2 linked regions of the Struthio camelus genome follow. The protein of the gene in region 1 interacts with the protein of each later gene in a pairwise test. Links are inferred from orthologs where the notes say so. Each region holds a gene or a part of one and is shown in the gene's direction. Other genes may lie near its edges. The genes, in order: TCEANC and OBI1.

Evidence for each region.
Region 2: the proteins of TCEANC (region 1) and OBI1 interact in binary tests that used the Homo sapiens proteins (3 or more experiments, as listed by UniProt). The two-hybrid records come from large-scale screens. The link is inferred for Struthio camelus from reciprocal best matches to the Homo sapiens genes TCEANC and OBI1.

The regions. Positions count from the first base shown.
Region 1 is NC_090942.1:140,518,734-140,522,643, reverse strand, and holds the start of TCEANC (transcription elongation factor A N-terminal and central domain-containing protein), read left to right. Parts: upstream 1-1,729; 5' UTR 1,730-1,839; coding exon 1,840-1,930; exon of another isoform or gene 1,931-1,977; intron 1,978-2,123; exon of another isoform or gene 2,124-3,910.
Region 2 is NC_090942.1:175,961,519-175,965,428, forward strand, and holds the start of OBI1 (ORC ubiquitin ligase 1), read left to right. Parts: upstream 1-1,077; 5' UTR 1,078-1,113; coding exon 1,114-1,398; coding exon of another isoform or gene 1,399-1,488; intron 1,489-3,910. UniProt on the Homo sapiens protein: E3 ubiquitin ligase essential for DNA replication origin activation during S phase.

The DNA.
Region 1 (3,910 bases):
ATGACTCGTTATTCATTAACACAAAGATGATTTAAAGGAGAAGCCTATGCAGTCCTTCAAGCGGGAATCAGTCCTCCGAACCTGCCCCGAGAGGGACGTCCTGTGTTCTGAGCCCTGCTCAAAGAGGGGTAATGGCGAGAGGCAGCGAGTCGTGCTCCTTCCTGTGCTTCTCTCTGCCAAGGGAGCTCTCTGTCTTTGTCATGGGCAATGCACTTTCAAGCGGAGGGTGTAAAGAGTTCTCTACATACCACACTCGCAATCTTAGCAGACAGAAAAAGGTTAAAGAAAACTAGCATCGGAGAGCCTTCTCTTGGGATCCTCAAACTGAGACTAAACTGAAAGTCTCGGATACTGCAATGACAGCTGCTGCTAAGCTAATGATATACGCATGCTGCAGAAAAACATAAATACATGTAAGATAGCCCATTGGATGACGTGCTGTATTTGGACTTGGAAGGCTTGGACTGTGTTCCTGGTCTGTCAGCGGTTTGCTGAGAGGGGTCGGGAAAGTCACCTCCTCTGTCCCAAGTTCTTTGCCTCCTCTCATCTGGTTATACTATGGACTCTCGGGGATAAGCCTTGTCCCGCACTTTGTTGCTGTACGGGCCAGAGAGAGGAGGCACGGAGGAAGCCAGATCTCAACTGTGGTCTCTGTTTGCCTGCAATATGTAGCCATGTGGAACAACACTAACCATTGCAGCGTGTGTTCAATCACTAATGAATTTGTTAGCTTGACACACATAAATTGTGAGGTGAGTTAATTATTACATGAAATTAGCAATCATTTAAGATTCCTCAGTTATCAATGTACAAATCAACCACTGCATCACTGCATCACTTCAGACTCCACAGACCCTGACAGCTTAACACATTGTAATAGTAGGCAATAAAGAACACTGATTCACTGGCTCATTACAATGATTTAATAATTTGCTTATTCTTATACCATTTTTAATAGCATATACAATAATGCTAGGGTTTTTTCCCCTTTTGTGATTAGTGCTGGTGATGTTTATTATGTAAAAAAGGGGGGAAGGGGAAGAGGTGTGTCTGCCTTATATGGTACTCAAGTTGAAAAATGCATTTGGCAAGTTGATTTCAGGTAGGAGCCCTCATTGTCAGCAGAGGGCTCCAAAGGCCTCATTAGTAAACAAACACAAAAACGTCTTAAGAAATGACCCGGCTTTTCCACTGTAATTGGGGATAAACTCCTCCGTACACCTCTGCATTTGCTGTAGAACGGACTAGGTGTATTAATCTTTTAGGCAAGCATTTTGAATGTCCAATGTAAAATATATGTGACAGGGGAAAGCACAGCAATAAAAAGTCAATAACAAACGTATTAGCTTTGACTAAAATGCATCAACTTTTAGATGTTGACTGCTGAATAAGTTCAGCACCTGTCATTATATCCAAAAGCTGTTACCCTGTGACGCGTGCTTTATAATATTTAGCTTTAACCCTGTGCATACCGACAGCTCAATTCATCATTCAACCAGCTAGTTGTTTATGCTTAAAAGTAATGCAGCACAGCGCTGAAAAATGGGAAGGTTTACAATGGTTTTGCCCCTGTTAGCTTCACACAGGATACTCATTTACGTGTCATACCGGCTTGCACTAGCTGCGTTTGCTTGAGAAGGAACACACCGACACGGAGGTTAAATTTTAAAATTACGCATTAACAATTTTTTTTTCCCTAAGGCTCAGGACGGAGCAGGGCCAAAGCCCTTTTTCTCCCCCGCTATTTGGGAAACACACCGTCTGAGAGCGGCACCCACGGCCCGCTACCCAGGCCGGCGCCCAGCGGGGCGGAGCGGGCTGCCGCTGACCCCGCACGAGATGGCGGCGGCTGCGCTGCCCGCAGCGGAGGCAGGAAGCGGCGAGCTAGGCGGGGGGGGGGGGAGGCGCCATGTTGAGGCCCGGCGCGGAGGTAACGGCGCCAGCCTCGGTGCCGGGGGGTGGTTTGTCGGTGAAGCTGTGCGTTTCGCCAGGGCAGCGGCAGCGAGGCGCATAGGCTCCCCCCGCGCTGCCTGTCAGGGGATGCCGGGGAGACGTTGCTGCCCGTCTCCGGGCGTTGGGAGCGCGGCCCGTGAGGAGGGGGCGGCGGGAGCGAGCGGCGCGGCGCGGGGGCGCCGGAGCGCCCCGAAATGGCGTCGGCGGCCGCGGGCTCGGCCCGCCCGGCGGCGGCCCCCGACGCCCGCAGAGAGGAGCCGTCCGCGCTGCTTCGCCGGGTGGCGCGTTGAGGCGGGTGCCAGGCTGGTCCCGTTTCTTCCGTGGTGGGGTGACAGGCGTGGCAGGCCCCGGCTCCGGCCGCGCGGGGCCGCGAGCAGGAGCAGACCCAAGGAGAATCGGTGAAGGACGGCGTGGCGCAGGAAGCGTTTCCTGAGGAGTTAGTGGTGGTGGTGGGTAGGTCAGTGCTTGCTTTTCTGTCTGTCTTCGGCGTGCCGAGGAGACCGAGAAAGGGGGCAAAAATTTGCCCTTAAGCAATACGGCAGCGGACCCGACTTCAGCGGGAAGCGTCCGAGGAGTTGTGGGAGAAAGACCTCTGAGGAAGTTTTAATGGCGAATTTGAAATAAAAGGCATGGAGTTAGCACACTCCTCAGATCCCTGTGTGGGATCCATTAGAAATTGCACTGGGCCACGGTTTTTATGGGAGCGATCGCAAACTAATTTGCAGTCAGATTTGCATGTAGTGTCTTACACTAGTGTCCGACACCCCCGTTACAGTGCCGATGGTCGGCCACTGGGGTAGACACACCAACTCCCTAAGCCCTCCAGGTGAGCTGTGGTCTCCAGTTGATTTTCCTGTCAAGCAAACGTCAGCTGGTTTTATCCAAATGCATGCGGCAGGGCTGCTTCTCTGCACTGTCGTAATTACCCTAGTGATTTGTCATGAGCGGCTGTAATCCTCATTGCGGAAGAGGCTAAACTTGAAAATTGCAGGATGAATATCCGTGCTGATGGTACTGTGGGAATTTTTTTGAGATTTATTGTGTTAGTCTCCACGCAGCATTGATGTATTCAGATAAGTCAACTGCTGACATCGATTTGGAATGGAATGAAAGAGTTCACACTTTTATTCAGCAATGTAGTTTTGTTTTTCATAACTAAGGACTTTAAAAATCCATTTCAAGTGTATGTCACATCCTTCCTGTTTTCAATCGGTATATGTCAAGCATCGTTGAAAGCTCTCAAATGTTTAGACTTTATATGTATTAAGCATTCCCTTTTGTATTTTAGCAGAAGAATTTTTAAAAGTTGTTAATATCTTACAAATATGCTTTGTTTGTAACATAATTTATTTGTAAAGGAGTGGGGAACATATGTGCTCTTCTGCATGTAAAGGAATATGTTTCTAAAGGGAAAAAGTTATTTAATTTCTCAATGGAAGACCTGTAATAGAATGGTAAAGTGATATCTAACGTAACTATATCCCCAACAAGTAAATGGTAAAAGGAAGTAGCGTGGAGCTGAGGCTGAGCTAGAAACTGAACGTTGAAGCAATAAGTATGTTCGTTCAACAAATGATCAAAAAATACCTAGTCACCCTCAAAAGTTCACGACAGATTTTATGATTTACGTGTTTCATTTTTATAGTGTATTGATTTATTTTCTCAGCACAATATGTTATGAAAAGACACTGCAGACAGAACATTTACTTCAGTTGTGGTATACTGGAATTTAAGCCTGCAAGTAATTATTAAAAGAAGCCTTCAGCAAGGTAAAAGCTCTGTTGGGATGCGTGCTTTCATTGTAACATCAGCTGGAACGTCTACAACTCAACAGCTGTAGTAAAAGTGGTTTAATTCATAAAGAATATTCTCAGCTAGTTGTTACCAGTGAGGAAAGTCAGAGTTGTCACTCACAAGGTGTAGCTGTACCATTTTTAGTCCTTTCTTTTTTTCTTTT
Region 2 (3,910 bases), about 35 Mb from region 1:
CTAAGCATGTGGTGCAGTGTTAAGTCACTCAGCTCTATAATTTTTCAGCGCGCTGTGGCACGCTTACAAGAAACTACAGGAATCCTGGGACTGGAGGTCAAGCTAAGAGACTCCTAAGAGCCCTGTCCTGCCAGCACCATTTTCCAGCTGCTGTCAGGCAGTCTGGAAAACACAACACTGAGAGGCGATGATGTGGATAGTCAGCGATACAAGCGCAGTAACACACTTGGCTTTTCAGTCACGGATGTGACCCCATGGCTACCACGGATCAGAGCAGGAACGTCCCTCCAGCATCAGCAAGTGTTACTGCACGGCACTTGCAGAGTCTGGGGGCTTTCCACAGTCACAATTTCTTTTCTGCCCTCCAAGCCGCAGCAGCCCAGACTGTGACAATCCCACCAGGACCAAAAGGCAACGCTTCGAGCCAAGCATCAAGACGTGCCTGTTGGAGGCTGAGCACCGGGAGGATGGCCGGCACAACACACGAGGTCGCTCCGAGGTGCAGAGTTGCCGCAGCAGTGCCCGGGGAAAGAGCAGCTGAGGCTCCGGCGAGCGGCGGGGAAAGGGGTGATGGCGCCCTAGGAGTTTATTCTGGGATATGTTATCATCTGTGGTCGCATGATTTCAAAAAAGGAAAGTTGGGAGAGGTAGGCTCAGGGGAATTCATAGCGTTTAAGCGGTTGGCCTTATTTCACAGTAGGAAAAAGGTTTATTGGAAAAAAGAGACCTCCCCAACCACATGCACCTCTTTCTGCGAGGCGGCTTCACACCGAATCCTACCCAAAAACCTGCCTTGCCTTTCAGCAAGGCTGCGCCTAGGCCACAACCACTGCCAACCCCCCGGGGGGAGCTTCCTGCTGGCAGACCCCCAGGGCGAGAAGCTGCCCAAGGAAGGGCTCCCGTGGGCCGCGGACCCAGCCGGGACGGCCGAGGGGCAGGGAGGCCCCCACTCCTCGCCAGGGCGGCTAGCCCTTGGCCTCGGCCTGGGGGGCCGAGATCCAGAGTGGAAGCTGCCTGCGCTGGTGGTGATGGTGGGGTGCGGGGGGGGGGGGGAAGGCGTGCTTTGGTGCAGCGACAGGGGCACAAACGTGAGAGGCGGCCGGCGGGGCCGCCATGGCGGCGCTTCCCTGCCGCTCCCCTCCCGCCCTCCAGGGGAACGCTTCCAAAGCGCGAGCGCGCGCGCGCGCGCGCGCTCCGTTCCTTGCCCGGCGCGGCAGGTTGGCCTCGCTGGCTTGCCGTACTCGGGAGTTTGGCGAGGGGGGTTCGCCGTTGTTCTGCCGTTGCCGCCCGCGGGACTTCCGTGCTGGCGGGGGCCCGGCCGCCGCCATGGCGCAGAGCGGGCCCAGCGTGACGCTGTCCCTCACGCTGCCCATCACCTGCCACATCTGCCTGGGGAAGGTAACGGCGCCGCCGCCGCTGTCGCCAGCCCCGGCCAGGGGGCAGCCGCTGCCCTTCCCCCCTCCTTCCCTCCCGGCCAGGCGCGGCCCGGTAGGGGTATGGGGCGGGCGGGTCGCCTCCGTGCTGCGGGGTTGGGGGTCGGGCTCGCCCCCGAGGGTGGCTGCTCGGAGGTGCCCGGCCGTGGCCCGAGGCCGCGCCCGTACCGGCCGTTGTCCCTTTAAGGGGGCTGCGGTTCTGAGCTGGCGAGAAAGTTGGGGTGGGCGATCCCGCCTGCGGGAGGGGCGATCTCCCCCGGGGGGCGGAGAGGGGGATCTCCCCTGCGGGAAGGGTGGTCTCCTCCGGGGGAGAGAAGAGGGAATCCTGCCTGCGGGAGAGGTGATCGCCCCCGGGGGAGGGGGGGATCCCGCCTGTGGGAAGGGTGATTTCCGGAGGGAGAGGGGGATCCCGCTTGCGAGAGGGGTGATCTCCTCTGGAGGGGGGGATCCCACCTGCCGGAGGGGTGATCTCCGAAGAGGGAGAGTCCTGTCTCTAAGAAGGGCCATTTCCCTTGGTAGTGGGTGGATCATCCCGCCTTGGAGCAGGGCAGGATCCCCCGAGAGGGGAGGCCCCCCACTCCCCTCGGGAGTGGGTGGGCGGTCTGGTCCCTAGGAGGAGTGAGCCTGTCTCCAACAGGGAGGATCCCGCCTCGGGGTAGGTTGGGATCCCTGATCCAGGAGGGGCCATCCTGTTCCCGGGGAGGCGGGAGGAGATCCAGTCTCCAGGTGGGTTGCCAGGAAGGTTTGTTGCCACCTTTCAGATGGTGGCGACTGTGCGTGCCCTTGGCGGGAGCCCCCCAGGGTACTGCTAGCAAGGGCTGCAGACCACAGGTCCCCCAGGCACCCCCGGTCAGCGCCCCACCTTCCAAAATATGGTTGCATTGCTTTCAAGTTAAGGGGGTTTTTCTGCCTCTGATGTCTATAGGAGCTCAAATATTTTAAAACGTAGGGTAAGTTTGTGTTTGAGCCTGGTGCTGTATCACAAAGGACAAGTGAAAAAAGAATTTGTAAATAGAAAGATGTGTAACTGAGTGGATTAAAAAAATCATTGAACAATATTCCAGCAGTTTGGAGAAAAAAATTAATTTTCCTCTTTCTTACTCGAGAGGATTTCAGTCCTTTCCTCCCTCAGGAGGAGGAAGGCTGTTGCTAGTCTATTCTTCTCCAAAAGCCCCCAAAACCAATAGCTGTTACAAGTTGCTTCTCAGATTCTTTGCTCTTTTCCCATTTCTACTCTTTTTTTAATTTCCCTGTGCTCCAAAACAAAACAAACCTCTCAAAACACAACAGAAATTATAAGGGAGGAAATATGAACATAAAGGTTATTTCTGCTCAGGCATTTATTGTCCTGTTTCTTTCTACCTTACCTGGCCTTTACTCCAAGACCTTTGCTGCTTGTATGATAAGATGACAAAAGGATTGATGTGTTTGATGTGCAAAATAGGTGTAGCATAGGTGGTGAAATAGTCGGACATCTGCTCTTCGCAAGTGTCTCAACTCTGACAGAGCACAATGCTTTCAGCAACCATGTTTATGCATTTCTTGGCTTTTCTGTAGAAACCAAATAAGGCATCCCCAGTGTGGTTGTCCTCTCTCCTTTTCTATTTACCTGTTTAGTGTGAAGGGAGGAGAACACAAATTAACTTTATCTGTAATGAAGAGTGGATTTTCTTTGAAAAGGAGATTAAAACGAGCTGGTAATTTATTGCTAATTTGAATCTGTTCCAGGTGATTTCCAAAGTAATCTAAGCACTTAATAGCTTTGTTATGTATTCACTCATATATTGCTATGAAACCGTTGTCTCATTTCAAGCCGCTATCTCATACTTCCACTTTTAATTCTGAAACCGATTAGGAATTGATGTAGCTGAGTTTGTAGCTGGAAAAGATTTCCACAGTCGTCTTCCTTCATATCTTGCGTTGAGCTTATATATTAACATTACAAGTGAATCTTGTGGTGACATCTCTAATTAAGGTCAGTGAACGCTTTCCTTCTTAGATGCCTGAAGTTAAAACTTTGGCAAAGTTAGGCTGCTCAGGCTGCATTTTTTCTTACGAATCTCTGCAGCTTGAAACTTTGTTGAAAGACTTCAACAAGAAAAGCTTTTCTGTTTTCTGTTGGGAGGAAGAAAAGGTTGTTTGTTTTAATTTTGAGGGAGCAGTCTTGCAGTTTTTGTCCTGTTGAAGGAGCAGAAAGTGGAATGGAGGGCTGACATGTTCTAGTACTTCTGTGGTTTGTAGCATAGGCTTCACACTTAATATTAAGGCCCACCCTGCAATTGGAAAATACCTCTTCATAAATCTGCAAAATTTGCAAAGGGTTTGATGTAACCCAGAAACTTCAACTAACATATTTCGCTATGCATAGCGGTGAGAGGGTAAAAACACGTATTAAATAGAGACTCATTCAGTAATATCATCCACTCATTGTAATTAATGAAGCAGAAACCTTCAGGATTTGAGGCTTCAATGCATGC